Linked DNA regions of Elephas maximus indicus. The protein of the gene in region 2 binds, or shares a complex with, the protein of the main gene of each other region. Links are inferred from orthologs where the notes say so. Each region holds a gene or a part of one and is shown on either strand. Other genes may lie near its edges.

Region 1 (10,154 bases), on a different chromosome or scaffold from region 2:
TTTGGTCTTGTTAACTTTTTCAACTATTTTTCTGTTTTCTATTTCACTTAATTCTGCTCTAATTATTATTATTTGCTTTCTTCTCATGCCTGAGGGTTTCTTTTGTTGTTCTCTTTCTATTTGTTCAAGTTGTAGGGATAATTCTTTGATTTTGACTCTTTCTTCTTTTTTGGATGTGTGCATTTATTGATATAAATTGACCTCTGAGCACTGCTTTCGTTGTGTCCCAAAGGTTCCAGTTGGAAGTGTTTTCATTCTCACTGGATTCTATGAACTTATTCCATCCTCCATACCTTCTATAACCCAGCCATTTTTGAGCAGGGTATTGTTCACTTTCCAAGTGTTTGATTTCTTTTCCCTGCTTTTTCTGTTATTGATTTCTACTTTTATGGCCTTACGGTCAGAGAAGGTGCTTTTTAATATTTCGATGTTCTGAATTCCACTAAGGCTTGCTTTATGACCTAATATGTGGTCTATTCTAGAGAATGTCCCATGTGCACTAGAAAAGAAAGTATACTTGGCTGTTGTTGGGTGGAGTGTTCTGTATATGTCTATGAGGTCATGTTGGTTGACTGTAGCATTTAGATCTTCTGTGTCTTTACTGAGCTTCTTTCTGGATGTTCTGACCTTCACTGCAAGTGGTGCGTTGAAGTCTCCTACTATAATTGTGGAGGTGTCTATCTCACTTTTCAGTGCTATTAGAGTTTGTATTATGTATCTTGCAGCCCTGTCATTGGGTGTATAAATATTTAATATGGATATATCCTCCTGGTGTATTGTCCCTTTAATCATTATATAGTGTCCTCCCTTATCCTTTGTGGTGGATGTAATTTTAAGTCTATTTTGTCAGAAATTAATATTGCCACTTCTGCTCTTTTTTGGTTGCTGTTTGCTTGATATATTTTTTCCCATCCTTTGCGTTTTAGTTTGTTTGTGTCTCTAAGTCTAAGGTGTGTCTCTTGTAGGCAGCATATAGACAGATCATGTTTTTTTTTAATCCATTCTGCCACTCTCTGTCTCTTTATTGGTGCATTTAGTCCATTTACGTTCAGCGTAATTATAGAGTGCTGTCATTTTGATGTCTTCTGTTGTGTGTTGTTGACAGTTTCTTTTTCCCACTTAATTTTTTTGCTGAGTAGTTTATCTTTATATATTGTCTTTTCCTCATATTTGTCGTTGTTGATATTGTTTCTGCTGAGTCTCTATGTTTTTTCTTGTATTTTATTTTGATGAGTAGGATTGTTAGTCTCCTTTTTCCAAGTTTAGACCTAACTTTCATTTCTTTATAGTGTCTTGTCTTCCTCTCCATATGAAAGATCTATGAATACATTTCTTAGTCTCTCTTCATTGTTTTAATGTTGTCTTCTTTTACATAATGACATCGCTGTTACCCTGTTTTTAGCATTTTTTTTTTTTTAATCTTGATTTTTTTTTTATTTCCCTATCTGGGTTGCTATCTGATTGCTCTGTCCAGTGTTCTACTCTTGGGTTGATATCTGATATTATTGATTTTCTAACCAAAGAATTCCCTTTAGTATTTCTTGTAGTTTTGGTTTGTTTTTTATGAATTCCCTAAACTTCTGTTTATCTGGAAATGTCCTAATTTCACCTTCATATTTGAGAGACAGTTTTGCTGGATATATTATTCTTGGCTGGCAATTTTTTTCCTTCAATGCTTTATATAAGTCATCCCATTGTCTTCTTGCCTGCATGGTTTCTGCTAAGTAGTCTGAGTTTATTCTTACCGACTCTCCTTTGTAGGTGACTTTTCATTTATCCCTAGCTGCTCTTAAAATTCTCTCTTTATCTTTGGTTTTGGTAAGTTCGATTATAGTATGTCTTGGTGACTTTCTTTTAAGATTTACCTCATGTGGAGTTCGATGAGCATTGTGGATAGATATCTTTTCATATTTCATGATATCAGGGAAGTTTTCTGCCAACAAATCCTCAACAATTCTATCTGTATTTTCTGTTATTCCTCCCTGTTCTGGTACTCCAATCACTTGTAGGTTATTTCTCTTGATTGAGTCCCATGATTCTTAGGGTTTCTTCATTTTTTTAAATTCTTTTATCTGATTTTTCTTCAAATATATTTGTGCCAAGTGCTTTATCTCCAATCTCACCAATTCTGCCTTCCACTTGCTCAATTCTCTTCTTTTGACTTTGTATTGAGTTGTCTAATTCTGTAATTTTATTGTTAATCTTCTGAGTTTCTGATTGCTGTCTCCCTATGTATTTCTGCAGCTTAAGTTTTTCATTATGTTCTTTAATAACCTTTCTAATTTCTTAAACTCCTTTATCTGTTTGTTGCTTGGCTTGTTCTGCATACTGCCTGATCTCCTTCCTAATCTCGTTCCTGATGTCTTGAAGAGTTCTGTGTATTAATCTTTTGTATTCCACATCTGACAATTCCAGGTAGCACCTTCATCCAGAAGATCCCCTGATTCTTTGTTTTGAGAGCTTTTTGAAGTGACCATGGTCTGCTTTTTTATGTGATTTGATATTGACCACTATCTCCGAGCCATCTATAAGCTATTGTATTAGTTTATTTTTGCTTACTGTATTCTAGCTTCTTGCTTTGTTTTGTTTTGATATGCCCAAATGGGTTGCTTGAGTGAGCTAGCATGATTATTTTTTGCCTTTGAAGTGCTAACGTCCTGTCACCAGGTGGCTAGAGCTGTTTTCAGGTATATCAGGCTAGAATTGTATTCACTTTTCTTGTATGGATTCAGCTCAGGTGTCCAGGTAGTTGGTCACCAAGTGTGTGGTACAGGCTCTGTCCTATGGTCTAAGTGGGGCAAGGGTGATTGGTGTAGGTACCAGTATCTGGTTGCAGCAGGGGTCATGCTCTGAACAAGGCAGGGGGCTGAGAAACATCCCCCGAGTGTCTCTGAGGAAAGCGTGTCCCTGTTCCCTAGTGCGCACAGGTGGGTGGGTTCTGCAGACTAACCATGGGTACCCAATGCTTTTGGTTGTAAGGACTAGGGGGTGCCAGTTATCCTTGGACTCGTCATGGGTGGCTGGGTGACCTGAGTGGAGCCACCAGTCCTTAGGCCCCTGATGTGGGTAAGTGAAGAGCCTGTTTAATTTAGCAAATTGGTGTCAAACATCGAACACCCACCTCTCCAAAGCACAGCTAAAACAGTTGCAGTCTGCCAACAAGGGCCTATTCTCCTAAAATAGGCCCACACAGGTCCATGCAGGGGGTAAAGGTATTCAAAGTCCACTGACTGTTTATGCCTGGACAGGAGCTGCTTCTGTCCTGGGCTCCCCAGGTTAGTGGAGCTGGGAAATTATCTTTTCCCCGAATTGTGAATGTATTCCTTCTCCAAGGCCGGGAGAATGGCTCAGGTTGCTCAACAGAATCTTTCTCAGGCCCAGGGAAATCAACAGCCAGTGAAGCTGGCTTGCAGGGTGGTGGTGGTGGTGGTGGGGGCACAGAAAGATATACCCTAGTACTTAGCTTTTGCCGAGAGTGCTGTTATTCTCTGGTTCCGGAGGTGTGAGTAGGCTGTGTGGCTGGCTATTTCTCCCTGAAGAAAATGCGGCCGAATGCTATTAGCAGCCCATCGCGGTTGCTCCCAGGAATGGTGCCTGTGGGATCCCAGCTATTCAGGTCTGGCAACTCCTCTTCACTTCTGAACCATCTCTCCCTGCCCCGTCGCTCAGTCCATTTTCTAACTTTGCCTTTGATGTTCAGAGCTCCTAGCTTGTCATGAATATAATTGTTTCACTTGTTTTTTTGGGCCTTTGTTTTAAGAGGGATCATCAGAAGCATCTGGCTACTCTGCCATCTCAGCCCCACCTCTATTTTTGTTCTCTTCCTTTATGAAATATGAGGTGCATACAGGGCTAGTGCCCTTTCAGTTGTATGCATCGTAGGTGCAAGTATGACTTTATAATTGCCTTTTTTTAAGAGACTGCATATGGTTTAGGGAGATGTATATGGGTGCCAAGGGGTGGACTGTGATGGTTAAGGTTGCATTGTCAACTTGGCTGGGCCATGATTCTCAGTGGTTTGGCAGTTATGATGTAGCTTGGCAGCTATGTAATGATGTAATCACCTTCATAATGAGACCTGATATGATGTAATCACCTCCATAATGAGATCTGCTATGAACAGCCTATCAGTTGAAAGGAAGTTTTCTTGGGAAGTTTTCTGCATCCCATATACGTGGACTTTCTGGCAAAGCTCACTAGCTTGTGCTTGCTCTGGATCCTCATCTGACCTCTGGTTCTTGGGACCTGAGCTAGCAGCTTACCTGCCAATCTTGGGATTTTTCAGCCTCCACAGCCTATGAGCCAGCAGCCTGCCATTTTAACTGTTGATCTTGGGTTTGCCAGCCCCTGCATCTACGTGAATCAGAAGACTGCAGCTTGACCCACAGACTTGGGACTTCCAGCCTTTACAATCACATGAGTTATTCCCTTGATATAAATCTGTGTGTGTGTGTGTGTGTGTATACATACCATACCATATCATACAATCTTGTCCTTGTTAAGAAACAATCCTTCATGGGTCTCTTGTGTTTATGAACATTTTGTGAGTAGAGGCACTGACTGCCCTTTGTTCCAGACTATCTTTTAGAAAGACAGTATCTCCCTCTGGGGCAAAGAACAAAATACTTACTGACTGGCTGGGCATTATAAAACAAGCCATATTTATTAAAGATTATAAGAATGGAAACAAAGACTTCTAGAGCTGGAAGGGATGTCAACATCACCTTATAATAGCATATCATGTAATAACCATTCCCATTATTTAATTCTTGTTATATTCCAGAAGTTTTGCACATCTCATTTAATTTTCAGAAGGAGCCATATAAGATACATTTTTTATTATCTCTGTTTTGTAGACAAAGAAATTGAGGGTCTGAGAAATCAAGTGACATGCCGAAGGGCATACTATTAGTGTGACAGAGCAGGGATTCATACACAGGTCTTTCTGAAAATGAGAGATTTTTAAATTACAATACATTTTTTCAATGAAAGCTCATAGGCTGAAGTAGCTTCTGAAAGATCCTGAACGCCAAAGAGCAAGCTCGAACTTCATTTTGAGGGCACTGAGGCAGGGCTGGCTTATCCACTAGGCATAGTAGCACAGCACTTAGGTCCTACACTTTTAGGAGCCCACAAACATGTTTTGCTATTAATACATTCATCTTTATATCGACACGGTTTTAAAATATAATTTTAAATATACATACGCGTGTTTATATATATATATATTTCTAGAGAGGAACGGCCAAAGAAGGCAAAAATGTCCAGGGCCCACCACCGAGGTGCGCCAAATTTTCGGGGAAGGTAATATTGGCCGACTAAATTGGAAGACGTGCAGTGGTGGATAAATTGTGAAAAATGTGGTCGCTATTTCCCTCCTCCTGTCAAAGCCCTCTCCCCCGAAGTGGGGCTAAAAGGGCAGAGGTGAAACACAGGTCAGAAAGGGCCACTTCCTAGCTGTGTAAACTTGGACAAATGATTTGATCTGAGCATCAGTTTCGCCATCGATAAAATGGGGACATGTGCCTCCTGGGGTTCTGGCCTCATCTGCCTTGCTTACCGCTTTGTACGAGGCAACCCATAAATACACGTTGAATGAATGCAGGAAACGCGTGCTTAGCAGTGGCCGCCATACAGCAAGCGTCCAGTAAGTGGTAGTTGCTGGCACTGAAAATCGTAAAAAGTCCCCAGAGAGACAACCCTAGCTCTCCAGGACCGAAACTAATCTCAGCAGGTTCCACGCGAAACCGCGCCAGGTAACTTCTCTAGGAGACGAGGCCACGCGACTGCGCTTGCGCATAAGCGCTTTTCCCCGCCCCTTCAGGCCGGAGTGCCAGGGGGGTGGGCCTGGGCGGTGACGCGACGAGTCCAAAGGGGTGGACTCAGGAAGGGGCGTGGCTAGGAGGCCGAGCCTCGGCTACCTTCTTCCGGGCTCCGCCAGCTGCGCGCGCATGCTTCTCCCCCTTCTTTTGTGGTCCGGCCCATTGCGAGGGTGACAGGAAACCCTGTGCAGGGAGCGCCGCCATCTTGGGCTAGCCCGAGGAAGATCCTGAGGGAGCCGCCGCAGCAGTCGCCGCTGCCACCGCTACTGCCGCCAGCGGGTCTACACCTCTTCGGCCAGCCCGCCTACCCGCGGGGCCTCGGCCGACCGCCCCGCCTCCTCTCCCTGCGTCTGCTCTCGTCTTCCTCGTCCTGACGGCCCCCTCCCGCCCGGAAAGCTGCCCAGCCACCAGCAACCCCCCAGGTAACCCAGGCCTTCCGCAGTGCTGGTCTAGTTGGGGCCTCCGCGCCCGGCCCTTCTGAGGGGCGGGGGCGGGGACGACGGCGAGCGGGGGCTGCAGGCGGGCGGCGCCGTGCGGGCAGGCCCTGTCAGGCCGCGGCGAGCCTGGGGTCGGCGGTGGGCGCCGCGGCCTGACGGGACTCCCCTGTGGGGCCGGAAGGTGCCCCCAGCGCTGCCCCTGCTAGAGCCGCCTTGGCCTCCCCACCCCAGCGGAGACCTTCGAGGCGCGCGGGAAGGGTGTGTTCCGACCTCGCCTTCCCCGCCTCCTGGGCCGGACTGGGCAAAATCGCAAGTCCTGCAGGCCTCTCTCCTTGCTCCGGTCTCTGCGGCTGCAGACCACCCGCCGGAGTTTATCCGCGCGTGCTGCGCCGCCTTCCAGCCCACGAGCCCCAGACGTGGCATTCCCCGTCCTGTAAGGCCTCAGCTGGCCCTGAGTACAAAAGGCAGCTCTTCTCAAGCTCGCCGGCATCTTGGACTGCCTCCGGTGTCCTTGTTGATGTGGCTAGACCGGCTCGGGCTTCGGGCTGGGGAAGGGGTCTGTGGGGCTGTGCTTGCTCACACTGAGTCTCAGAGGTTAAGTAACTTCGAGATCATTATTGGACGAATCCCTAAAAGGCCTGTGACATCCTGTAAAACCATGAGCCCAGGATGGCATCAAGAAATAAAGTTCGGCATTTCTAGAATTTAAGAAAAGAGGAAGGAACAAGCACATTTGGAGGGTTTGCAGCCTGCTGTGTGCCAGGCACGGTTCTAGGTATCTTCACATGTTTGTTTGAGCCTCACATCACCCGTGGTGGTAAGTTGAGTTTTACCCACTTTACAAGTGGGGAAACTGAGGCTTGAAATTGCGACGTGGCTGGCTAATGATGGCCCCTACAAACAAATGGCCTTTTCGCCACTCTTTGGTTGGTGTTTTGTGTATTACACTTAAAAGCTAGGCTATGGTGAAAAACATTTGAAATGCAGCTACAACTTGATCTCTTTTTTCCTATATTCAGATTGGATGCTCAGAGTCCATGATGTCAGCCACTGCGCTGCCAGTCCTCACTCTTACAACCCCAGGGAAGAGATGGCAAGATTTACATTTTATATAAAATTGGGGTTATGAGAGGGCAAGTGCTTTCCTGGTGGTCCCACAACAAGTGTCAGAGTGTAGATTTGAACTCCTTGCAAAGTTTATTGCTCATTTCATTGCTACAGCACCACTGCCTTTTATTAAGATGTGGGTATTGAGGACAATCTTGACCTAGCAAAATATATCCAGTTTCCCACCCCTCTAGCCCCCCAGCTTTTCCAAAAATTTTCTTCAAAGTTCTTTTTAGGCCATTTTACTTGGTCATCACTTGAGGCGATGCAGTGCTACATTTTTAAAAGTTTTTGCTCTTTGTATTTCCTGTTAAACTTCGTATTTGTTGTATACTATGCTGCAGAATTTGGAGCATTCATACAACTGAGTTTTATCAGTTTTCAAATATCTTAGCACAATCTTAGTAAGATATTGTACTATTAGAAGGAACTTTTTGTTAAGGCAAATAAGATATGTTAAAACTAAGGCTAATGAGAGATGTTTCATTTTTTAAGAATGCTTGAAACATTTTTATATGATTAAAAATGCCAAACTTGGTTGCAGACAGTGATTTACAAATAGAGGTATCAGAGATTCTTCACTTTTTAAAAACTTTTTATTCTAGAAAATTTTAAACATGTACAAAGTATAATGATGAGCTTTTGTATATATACCCATTAGCCAGTGTCAACTGTGCTCAATCTTGTTTCGTCTGAATACACCTGCTCCTCACTCTCGCTGAAGTTATTTTGAAGCAAATCTCAGACATATCATTTCATTAGTAATTTTTTTTTACTGGTACTGTGTAATCCTTTTAACTCTGGTAGTCAGTGCAGATCTTTTTTTTTTTAAGTGCTTTCCTTCTTTGAGTGGAGGTTAAGTATTGGAGTACTTTATTCCCTACTCAGCATGCCATCATAATCAGCTGGAAAACTTTGTCTCTTGATACATGGAGGAATCCAGTTATTTTTTCCTTATTTTACAATATTAACTTATATAAAGGTATGATATTAAATATCAAAAATATTTTTTTAAGTGGATCTCAGGTGTAGGTGGATTATTTTCAGAAGGTTGTACTGCTGTTGAGGAAAGGAAATTGAGTACTCATTTTGATTAGATTAGAAAATTAGATTAACTGCAGCTTTGTGTCCACCTAACTGATAAATCGAGTAGCATTCCACTTTAGTGGGCCTACAAGCAAATCAAAATGCATTCTATCCTTGAGCTCCATGAAGACAGGGACAGTGTTGCTTTATTTGCACGTTACTGTATTATTAAGGCTTAGCACTATGTTTTGTGTTTATTAGATGCTCAACAGTATTTTTATGTTAGACTCACAAAAGCAATCCATCTTGGATTTGGTGTTTTTAACAAAATGTCTTTCATGTAAAAAAAAACTTACTAATTTAAACAATGAGGATAAGAATTTAAGTCACCGCAACTATTCGGTGGGTTGCTTTTTTCTCTGTTATGTCTCGAGTTGGCTATGTAAATATCATATGTTCAGTACAGTAACATCATGTGTTCTGAGGAGTAGAATAAAATAGCTATATAACAGTTGTGAAAGGATTAGGCATAGTGCATAAGTAAACACAGTGAAGAGCTGAACTATAAAAAAAATTGAAAATATACTGTTTCTTTTTTTTAAGTCAGTCATCTGATTGGCTTCATATTATGTTCTCCGTATTATTGGTAAATGCGGAAATAATGTTGGCAATATTATGAGTGGGAGTTTCTTTTTTTTTTTTTTAATTTTAAAAAGTATTATCGAATGAATATAGTACGTGTGTATTATAATTGGAGGCACCTTGGTGGCACAGTTGGCTAAACACTTGGCTGCTAACCAGAAGGTCAGTGGTTCGAACCCACCAGCAGCTCCACAGGAGAAAGACGTGGCGGCTGCTTCCATAAAGACATACAGTCTTGGAATAACCCTGTGGGGCAGTTTTATTAAAATTAGTGCAGAGATGTATAAAGAAAGTCAATAATTTCCCCCTTCCCTTTTTTCTACTCTCGTCCTATGTATTCATCTTAATTTGTTGTGTTTCCTTCCATACAATATGCATATAGGGTTGAGTGTGTGTGTGTATGTGTATGTTTAAAAATGGCATATGCTGTTGCATAAAACTCTGCACCATGCTTTTTTTCCCTTAAAATCATACTTCCTGGTTAAAGCATCTAGACTGAATTTTTAAAAACTAGGTGCATATTATTTCATGGTACAGATATACTTTATTCAGTCATTTCCCTGTTCATGGGAGTTTAGATTGTTTATAGTTTTTTTGCTGTAAAAGTATTGCGTTAAATGCACTTGTACCTGTAGCCTTATGTACTGCACCTTTTTGCTTCTGTAGAATACTTCCAAGTGGATTTCAGGGCCTCTTTGATTTTGATTTTTTGCTGTTATTTCGTTAGTCTATTTTCGTATGTCTTTGGATTATTCTTTTTTTAAACTTTAAATACATTTTCCAAAATGTTTCAGCAGTTCAGACTCCCACAAGTAGTGTGTGTGAAAATGTATCATCATATATGTACCTGCACTTTTCAAAACTAGTCATTTATGCGTTTATGTAATCTTATTAAGGCAGTGTCAGATCCAGTGTGTGGAGATAGTGCTATTCTGTTTTTTGCACAATGATTATTGTTTAATATGCATTTAGTAACCGTTTAGATCTGTATGTATTAACCTGGAAATATGTCCCTAGCTTTGTTAAGTGCAGAAAAGCATGTTGCAGAGTTTTATACAATGGCATAGCCCATTTTAAAATATATTCCTCACCTTAAGTAGTGTTTCATTAAGAGATGAGG
Region 2 (10,264 bases):
CATACTAACCGAATGTCTTACAAATGCAATAACCAAATAATACCGTGGAAAAACATCTGGGAGCATCTTTCGCACCACCCAGGCCATGACTTTGACTTTCTTAGTCATTTCCTTCCATTGCTATAAGCAGGTTAGGGTTGCTTATCCCAGAATCTACAGAGAACTGTCCTGGGCATTGAGCTATCAGTTTCCTATACTAGGGTGGGAGGGAGCTATGACCTGGTGAGAGGTGTGACTGGTTTCCAGGTAGGCCAAATGTTATCTTTGAGGCGAATTCCAAGAAAACAAAAACTTAACGGAAACATGGCTCTTATCTGTTACAAAACCTTAAACATGCTTAGGAAGCGGAAAGGTATACGCACAGACACCAGCTACTTATAGTTTGTGAATTATAGATCTCTGTGGTTATCTAAGCCGTTTCTCTGCATCCAACTCTCCCAGAAAAACATGTCTAGCCTTTATTTCATTTTAATAACCCAAATTTCCTTTGGCAACTTATTTCGGCATCTCACTACATCACACTTCAAGATAGCCAACCTTGACGATATCCAAATCCTTTCGTATCAGGCGAATTTCCTCTTGCAACTTCAATAAATATAAGAAAATGACCCTCCATAACTCACACTATCTCTTCATATCTGGAAGACTGTTACAATATTAAGTCTCCATTCAAATATTTGTTTTAATCTGTCTTTCACAACTATTTCCCCACACCTCCTTGCTCTACGTGAACTATATATAAGACTAGAGAGCTAAGCAGAGAATTCTATATGTTGGTCACTTGATTCTGCCCCCCAGATTCGTGTCTGCTTTGTGACCATGGTACTTATTATGCTGACTCCCATTTAACCAAAGCCCAGGTCTTTGTAACAGATGTAGAAATGCAGAATCAATCCATTCTTGTTTTTTCTAACTACGGACCTATCTGTGTATTAACTAAACGTTTCCTCTATACAGATGGCGGCTTCTGTTTGATGTTTTAAAGGTGTGTGTCATCATACTAAATTTAAGGTCTGCAAATTCTGAGTCATGATAGAAAGCATAATCTCCTGCCTCCAAATAAATGTGACAGGCAGAGGCTTATCAAGAGAGCAAAGAGAAACATTAACATAGTAAGCTCTTGAGTTTCGGCTTCTGGAATCATGACAAATCTCAGTCTCTTACAGCAACTCTTCTTTGCTAGTGATTAAGACACACACACACACACGCAAACACACACACACACACCAGTTCAAGAATTGAGCTTTTGTCTCTGACTTTTAATGTCTGCGGAGGAGTCAAACCATTAATAGCTAGTTCAAATGACTTTTCTAGCCCAACCAGTTTCTTTCAGTTAAACTTCCGCCTCTCTAGTGCTACTCCAAGTCAAAGTGTGCATATTTCATTCTCTAAATCTCAGCTATCTCAGGCACCCAGGTGATATAATGGGGCATCAGAAAGGCTTCGTTTAACTGGGGTGTCCCAGAACCTTGGCAGGTCCCAGGAAGTGAAGAATGGAAGCTTGCAATTCCACCTAGTGGTAAAGAAACAAAGAAGTCCTTTGCAGTTATTAAAAACCATCAACTAAGCACCATCTCCCTGATAGTCATACAGTAACTTCAGCGGTAATCAGCTCATAAAATAAGAGTAGCCATCAAAGATTACACTGAAGAGGATGAGAAAAGTGAAGGTGCAGAGACTGAACTCTTCCTGAAAAAGGGAGCTTACAAAGGTTTTCATTCCTCACAAACCAGTTACAGAATCTTTTGAATCTATACACTGGTCCCTTTAATCCAGGAAGCCAGAAACGTCTTACAAACATCAATTAGGGCTGGCAACAAGCTTCCTTTATAAATAGGAAAACTCGGGTGTTTAAGAGACCAAGCAGCCTGAAGCCCAACAATTAGTCAGGACCAAAGCTGGCACCAGACCCAGGAATCTGGAATCCCCATCTCTGGCCGGGAGATGAGATTCATCTTTCAAGGGGATAAAATGTTCACAGAAGAAACAGATAGCTGTGATGAAAGTTAATATCCACACATCCTGGGGCAGGACAAGATAAAGGATGGTCAACAGCACCCAGATGAAGTTGAAAAGGATGCCAACTTATCATTCCAAACGTCATTTAATCAGATGGAAAATTAGCATTGCTTCAGCCCCTCTTGAACGATGACACTGCTCACTTTGTGGCTTGTAATTTGATGCCAAGAGATACCCCATCCATCTTCACATCAAGGCTCTCTACTTTTTATCTGCTTTGAGTTCAGAAGTCTTTTCATCTTTGGCCAGATAAATGAATCAGGTATTGCATTTGCAAACATGCATGCTCAAACTGGACTCACCCTATAGAACAGGGAGCCTGGTAACTTCAAATCCTCTAGCTTTTCCTATCTCCCTTACAAGGGAAAGTTAAAATATTAGGTGTATACAAGACACACAAACTGAATCAGTGTACTTCATAAACTGTAGAATTTAGGTGGTGACCTGATTGGCTTGTATATTTAAGGTCCAAGAAAGTGTCCCAACTAAAATCAGCAAGGCCAGCTTTTGGTATACCAAAAAAAAAGAAGAAGAAGAAAAAAACCAAACCCAGTGCCTTTGAGTAGATTCCAACTCATAATGACCCTATAGGACAGAGTAGAACTAACCCATAGAGTCTCCAAGGAGTGGCTGGTGGTTTCCAACTGCTGACCTTTTGGTCAGCAGCCAAACTCTTAACCACTGCGCCACCAGGGTTCCTTTGGTATACTAACTAGATGAGAATAATTATTGAGTGTTCCATTGGGTTAAGCATTGCCCTTTCCAAGCACCTGTGAAAGAGAACAAATAAATTGGTAACACACTGGAGTGAACTGGGTTTTGACCAGCTTTCTGTGTGGGAAACAGATACCCTGACACAGAACCCTTGATGGGGGAGATACAGATGAGCAGCCATCCATTAGGATTAAGATCACAGAGGGGAGCTTGACAAACTCCAAAGAGAAACAATGCCGGCTTCCCAGTTCCACTTGGCCAAGGGGTGACCCTGGCTCCAGCCATCACTGGGAAATTTTTAGTAATATGAGGCCCAGGGTAAACAGGGTTAATATTTTTCAGCCTAAAAGGAAAGACTAAACTCTTCTAGCATTCTCCCTGGGCCTCAGGCATTACCGCGCCGGGTGGGCAGTGGGTTAGCTCTCACTGGGCAGCCTGCATTCCCCGTGTCCCACCCCCACCCATCCGTACTGTAATGCCTCTACTCTGCCCCAGGGCGTCAGTGAGTCTCAATTCTCCAGTTAATCCCCACCGCCCTGGCCCATCCCTTAACTCCGAGTGCCCAGGCCAGTGAAATACCCAGGAGACTTTCTACATAAATTAATAATCGTATCACATATCCACACGACCCACATAAGGAGGAATTCGCCTGACCTACATACATTTTCGATTCATCAAAAAGTCATTAAGAGCTTACTATGAATGTGCCAGGGGCTGAGCAGCCTCCTGCAGATTTAAAATTCCCCCAGGTGCCGCCCCTACTTTCAAGGAGCTCAAATACAGGGAAAGCTAGGGCGCACAGCCGAAGAAGTGAAGCCGGGTGAGAGTAGGAGTATTGGTAGAGAGGGTCCCTCTCGAAGAGCTTCTCTTCGTCCGTGCCCTTGAAACACGCACCGTGACTGTCGCGCTCACTCTAAAAGGGTCTCAGCGTCGAGGCCGCATGTTTCTCCTCCCTCCCACCCCGTGTCCCACTGCCCCAGGGGCCCGCGCCTTCCTCCGCTGCCTCTCCCCTCCCCCGGCCCGCACTCACTGGGTCTTCCTGCGGCCCTGGTCCCGGTGCAGCTCCCGCAGGTCCACCTCGGCGCGGCCCAGGAACTTGTCGAGGCCGAGCAGCGCGCGGTGCAGCACGGTGAGCTGCAGGGTGGAGGCGGCCGCGGGGGCCGCCCCGGAGGACAGCAGCGGCGGCAGCTCGAAGGTGGCTTCCTCCCGCCACACGGGCGCGCCCAGGGTGCGCTCGGACACCGAGGTGGCGTACTTCTCCTTGCCCACCTGGATCACCGCGTACGCGTCGCTCGTGCCCCCGGGGCCCTTGGACCGCAGGCCCCGTGCCTGCAATACCGTCACCTGCACGTGGGTTGGGGACCACAAGGACCCCGCGCCCCGGTCCGCCGAGGCCGCCAGGGACATGGTGACGGCGGCACAGTCCGCTCGGACGTGAGACGATCACCGCGACCCGCCGCCTCAACGGCCCGCCCTGCCGCCCCGGCAACTTTAAGGCTTCCGGCCACGCCCCCGCCAGGGCCCTCCTCTCCCGGCCACGCCCCCGCCAGGGCCCTCCTCCCCGGCCACGCCCCCGCCAGGGCCCTCCTCCCCGGCCACGCCCCCGCCAGGGCCCTCCTCCCCGGCCACGCCCCCGCCACGGCCCTCCTCTCCCGGCCACGCCCCCGCCTGGGCCCTCCACTCCCGGCCACGCCCCCGCCAGGGCCTTCTTCCCCAGCCACGCCCCCGCCAGGGCCCTCCTCTCCCGGCCACGCCCCCGCCAGGGCCCTCCTCCCCGGCCACGCCCCCGCCCCTTCCCGCCCCACCTGCCCGCGCCCCAGCCCCGCCTCCGCCGTCCGGGGTGCTTGGGGCGGAGCTGGTGCGGCTGGGGCAGAGCGAGGACAGGACGTGGAAGGCGCCCGGGGTTCGAGAATTCGGATCTGAGAGGCGGTGGGTGAGCGATGGGGTCGCAAGCTCCGCTGACTTAGTAGTCAGACCTCATTTCCAGTCTTTACATAGCCATTTGGTAGGTGTGTGACCATGCGCAGATTAATTAGCGACTTTAAGTCTCAGCTTCTTCGTTTGTACAATGAGGTAACGATCGCTGCATTGAACTGTGGAGGAAAAAATAATGCATTACCGTTCTCAGCACAGTGCCTGGCCCACTGTGAGCTCTCTATAAACTCACTGCTCTTTGCCACTTCTGCACGCCTCGAACATTGCTCAGGAGGAAGATAGGCGCCGGGTGGATGGGGAAGGAAAAGGCTTATTTCTGGGCCTGAAAAGGGAAAAGTAAAAAGCCACCACCCTGCAGTGTGGTCGGTGTAGGCGTGTCCTATTTTGCCCTGCTCTCACCGAATGAGGTGAAGCTAAATTAGGCGAAGGAAAGACAGGATGAACCGAAACAGGATTGCCAAACCAGTCATCAGGGCGAGGGGCTGTCCCCAAGGTTCCCCATTTCTCCCTCACTGGGGCCCTTGGGTGGGGCCCTCTTAGTCTCTCCTTCCTCTTTGTCTCTGGGCTCCAGGTGAGACACGTCCTTGTTCTAAAATGTCCATTAGACCGGCCTCTTTCCTTTTTTCCCAGTGCCCTAGCTCAAAGGCTCTCCAGTCAGTTGTCAGATTCAGAAGGTCACTTGGAAGGTTTTTAGGTTTTACAGGTAAGGAAAAGCCCAGAGCAGAGAAGTGACTTGTTCAAGATCTCACTAGCTCAGGGGCAGGACTAGAGCCCAGGTCTCCTGGCTCCCAATCCAGTGTTTTTACTGCATCCCTTGCTTCTTCTAGATTGTCAGAACCCCAGCCTTGGGTGGCTGCTAGTCTCCCTGCTGGTCTCCATGCACTCCCCCCTCCAATCCACACTGCCACTTGCCTCACTGACCTGCTCAGTATCCGACAGTGACATCTCACCACGTACCTACCACACTAACTTCAGACTTAACAGAGCTTTGGAGACATTCCTATTTTAGCCCCACCCTAACTCAAGTCTCCTCTATCTCCTGAACAAACTAACCTGTAGCCCAGCTAATCTTCCCACCTCCAGGCCTCTACTAACTTTGTTGTTCCCTTGGCCGCCCTTGCCAAGTGCTACCCACTTCAAGGCTTCACTCAGATTTCTCCAAGTTTTGATTTCCTGTAGCCCCTTTGAGGGAAGGGATCAGATGATGACTTACTTATATGAGACCTTAGCAGAAATCTGGGTACACAGGTACTCAGGAAGTGCTGTTGAAATGAAGAGTTTGCAGATTATTCCAGCCAGCCATGAGTATGTAGTAAAGATTACAGACTAGAAAACCCTATGGGGCCAGTTCTAGTCTGCCTTATAGGGTCGCTATGAGTCAGAATTGATTTACGGGATTGGTGTTTTTGGCTTTTTACCATGCAAAACATTAGAGGGCAGACAGTATTGCCTCAGGTCTGCAAACAAGGGCAACTACTGTGTGGGAAAAGCCCCTTTGATACGTTGTAAATATTTAATGGTGATAAGGAGGAAGAAAGAAAGGCGGCACCAGACATGTAGGAGGCAGGAAAATCTAACAGAACACTATTGTTTTGGTACATTTCCCCTTCTTTAAGATCCATTAACTTCATTCAACCTCATGGCTGAGTTCAGTTCCACAAAGATTTATTGAGAAATTACTTTGTGCCAGGCATGTGCTAGAGGGCACAAAGCTGAAACAGACCCAGTTCCAAGGCACTGTATGCTACATGCTATAAAGGAAAAAAAAAAATAGTGCTATCGAGTCTTATGTAAATAAAATGTTTTGAGTATATTGGAGAGAGAGCAATTTCTCTGACTGGGTAGATTTTTATAAAGGAAATGGCATTGAGCTGGGCCCTGAAGAATGTATAAGATTTAACGGATATGTGGTATACGCATACAATGGAATATTACTCAGCCACAAACACAAGGTTCTGACACATGCTCCCACATGGATGAACCTTGAAAACATTATGCTGAGTAAAATAAATCGACACAAAAGGACAAATATTGCAGGATCCCACTTATGTGAAATATCTAGAATAGGCAAATACACAGAGACCAAAGTTTAGTCATAGTTTCCAGGGGTGGGTGGGAAAGGGACGGGGGAGGTATTGCTGAAGTGGCACTCAGTTACCGTTAAGAGTAATGGAAAAATTTGAAAATGGATAGTGGGGATCGTTACACAACCTGGTGAATGTAATTAATGTCACTGAACCGGACATGTAAAAATGGCTGAAATGGCAAATATACGTATATATGCATATATATAGAGAGAGAGAGAGAATCACAATTAAAAAAAAGGAAGATTCGGCAGACAGAGAAGGGATGATAGAGGAAGAATATTTCAGGAAGAGAGAAGAGGACAGCCTAAGCCTAAGCAAAGGCTTGGTGGCTAGAGAGTTCATGGCATGTATAGGGGATAGGAGTACTCCATATTGGCTGGAATGTAGGCTACTTTTGGAGGATATTGGTTCATGAAGGTAAGATAGCCAAGATATGTGGGCCCAGATCACATAATCATGAACACCAGGCTAAAGAGTTTATGCCTTACCATTAGGCCAGGGTGAGCCAACCTTCAGAAGATTTTGAGCAGTGACATGACCAGCTGTGCATCAGGTTGTAAGGCAGGTGTGAGCAGAAGTAGTCCAGTGGCCAACAGTAGGGCAGGTCACAACCAGATACCTTCATTCTTTTCACCTGGGGACTGTCTGCCTTCAGCCCCAGCCTGCCCCACCCCTTACCCATCCTTGGTGTCTAAGTTGATACTAAATTAAATATGACATACATTTTTGTTACTGATTGAATTGTGTTCCCTAAAAATACATGCTGGAATCCTAACCCCTATTCTGTCACTGTGGGTCACTATGAGTCGGAATCAACTCCATGGCAATGGGTTTTTGGTTTTATACCTGTGGATGTCATCTGTCTGTAAATAAGGTTTTCTTTGTTATGTTAATGAGGCCCTATTGTTGTAGGGTATGTCCTGAACCTAATATCTTCCCAGTTATGAGGAGCAGCATAGACACAGAGGTAAGCAAGCACAAATGGGTAAAGATGGATGCCACTTGAAGATTGCCAAGGGAAATGTTGCCGTGACTTTTTACAGTCAATATACAAGAGGCTGAGTTGGGAGATCAGAAAGATGCCTTTATTTGATTGCGCAAGGAAAGAAGCAATAGGGGCTGTTGCCTCCAAGACAGCTCACAGGCAGCTTGGGGAGGTGGGCTTTTACAGAGAGCAGACAAGGAAATGCAAATTCATCATGAATATTCAGAATTGACCTTCACAGGGGCGCTCAGAACTTGGGAATGACTAGGCATTTTCATTAGACAAGGGTTCAATTCTCTGGGATGAACGAAGAGGTGATTTTCCTTCGTTAGCATGTCAAGTCTGCACCTAGAGGTAGGTTGAGGCCATCTGTGGCCCATTCCATGGTTATCTTGTTAAGGACAACTTCAGAAGAATGTGCATCTTATTCTCCTGGATGTAGTAGGATAAGCCAGCACAGGTGTCTTTTAGAAGGGTTGGGCTCTAAGGCTGTCTGCCTCAAAACAAGGAATGCTGGAGGAGACAAGGACCTCCCCCAGAGCCACAGAAAGAGAGCCTTCCCTTAGAGCTGGTGCCCTGAATTCGGACTTCTAGTGTCCTGAACTGTGAGAAAATAAATTTGTGTTCTTTAAAGCCACCCTCTTGTGTTTTTTTTAATGAATACTTTAATAGAAAATCAGCCAAAGGGTATGAACTGAGAAGTCAGAAGAGAAGAAATATGAATAGACAAAAAACATGGTGAATCAATGTTTAACTCTACTAACCTGATATTTTTGTTACAGCAGCACTAAGAAACTAAGACCATTTTTCTCTTGGCTGTGTTTCCTATTTGTCCACTGTTCTACTGTGTTCCAGCAGGGCAGTCATTGAACAGACTCCAGGAGTAAACTTTTCAGCTCTGGTCTCCCTTCCTTCCTGACACTAGCAGTTTTAGCGGTGCTCTCACAATAAACAGAGCAGGGAATGAAACAGCCTCACAGGCTGAGTATGAAATGAAACATCTTTTCTACTCATGGAAAGGATGACAGGACAAGGAAGAGCATGAGAGGAAGGAAAAATTATTAGCACCTTGTGACCTCATGTGTTTGGGTTTCTGTCAGACGCAAATAGACTCCGTGGTTAAAGTGGAGGCGGTAGGTTAGGGGAGGAGAGGGCTGCCTCACCACCCTGGAGAAACCCAGATCTTTCTTCTCTAGATCCTGGACACTGGCAGGGATTAACTCAGAGGAGTGGGACTCACTGGAGGCAGAAATTGGACATTTGTCAGAGAAGCACAGGACTTGAGTCCAAACCAGAAAAACCCCACTGCCATCCAGTCAATTCCATAGGACAGAGAAGAACTGCCCCATAGGGATTCCAATGAGCGGCTGGTGGATTTGAACTGCCGACCTTTTGGTTAGCAGCCAAGCTCTTAACCACTGTGCCATCAGGGCTCTTTGGACTTGGATCAGAGCTGGCTTTTTGCCCTCTACACTCCTTAGTTGTTTTTTCTACTCTCCTCCAGGCCAGAGCACATTGTCCCTCAAGACTCGCTCACAGACCACCCTGGAGTAAGAGTCTGTCTTCTATCAGTTTTACAGACCCACAGTCTGGAATGGGGGGTGCACAGGCACAAGGACGATGCCGGCCACTGCAGACCCTTGTTCTGTGGCCCCCCCATGGAGGCTTCACCTCAGCTGCCCCGCGCACCCTCTCCCCTCTGCCAGTGGCCCCAGGGGCGCTGAACCCTGCAGGCTCTCTGAAAGCCTGGTGTTTGTAAACACCTCCCACGGCCTGGGTGCGGCAGATGAGTGTTCTTTCTTTCTACCCTGCCCCGCCTCGCTCTCTGACTGAAAGAGGAAAAGAGTTTCAGGCAGCCCTGAGCACACGGACAAGGTGCCTGGCAGGTTAGACAGGAAAAGCTGCCCTTCTCCAGTGCAGCAAAGCAGAACGCCCGGCTTCCAGCCCCTGGAACGGTCCGGTCCTGGGCCTTTCTACAGACAGCAGGCAGGATGCACAGGGCTGCCATGCTGTGCCTTCAGGGAGGCCTTATTTGTGTTGGAGCGCAGCTGGGAAGAGTTTTCCTCAATAAGAGATTTTGGAAGGCCATGCTGGGGGTGGAGGGAGGAGGCAGAGGGAGAGTCTTCCATGGCCCTGCTGGCTGCCAGTCACCCCTCTCCACAGCTTTTCCTTATCCCCCAGCTGCAGGAACCAGAAGGCAAAGATCATTGCTGGGGGCTGTTGTTGCTAGATACTGTGTAGTGGGCCCCATGGTGACCCCATTCACAACAGAGTGAAAACCTGCCCAGTCCTGGGACAGCCCCATGATCAGTTGCAGATCAGGGCATTGTGATCCATAGGGTTTTCATTGGCTGATTTTTGGAAGTAGATCACTTCCAAAACGTAAGTAGGAAGTAGGCCTTTCCTCCTAGTCCATCTTAGTCTGAAAGCTCCATTGAAACTTGTTCAGCATCATAGCAACACCCAAGCTTCCTCTGATGGACAGGTGGTGGCTGCAAATGAGGCGCACTGGCTAGGACTCTCC

Evidence for each region. Proteins that work in one complex are often made in the same cells at the same time.
Region 1: the proteins of RAB11FIP1 (region 2) and RAB14 are in contact, whole or in part, in a crystal structure (PDB 4D0G), measured with the Homo sapiens proteins. The link is inferred for Elephas maximus indicus from reciprocal best matches to the Homo sapiens genes RAB11FIP1 and RAB14. Residues at the interface, in NP_001002814.2 of Homo sapiens: Glu1252, Ile1255, Asp1256, Asn1257, Leu1259, Val1260, Met1263, Pro1267, Asn1268, Leu1270, Arg1271, Ile1272; in NP_057406.2 of Homo sapiens: Leu28, His29, Ile44, Gly45, Val46, Glu47, Phe48, Gly49, Trp65, Arg72, Arg74, Ala75, Val76, Ser79, Tyr80.

Annotation. Positions count from the first base shown.
Region 1 is NC_064827.1:71,201,815-71,211,968, reverse strand, and holds the start of RAB14 (ras-related protein Rab-14), read left to right. Parts: upstream 1-5,963; 5' UTR 5,964-6,244; intron 6,245-10,154.
Region 2 is NC_064840.1:62,784,014-62,794,277, reverse strand, and holds the start of RAB11FIP1 (rab11 family-interacting protein 1), read right to left. Parts: upstream 4,214-10,264; 5' UTR 4,141-4,213; coding exon 3,764-4,140; intron 1-3,763. UniProt on the Homo sapiens protein: A Rab11 effector protein involved in the endosomal recycling process. Also involved in controlling membrane trafficking along the phagocytic pathway and in phagocytosis. Interaction with RAB14 may function in the process of neurite formation.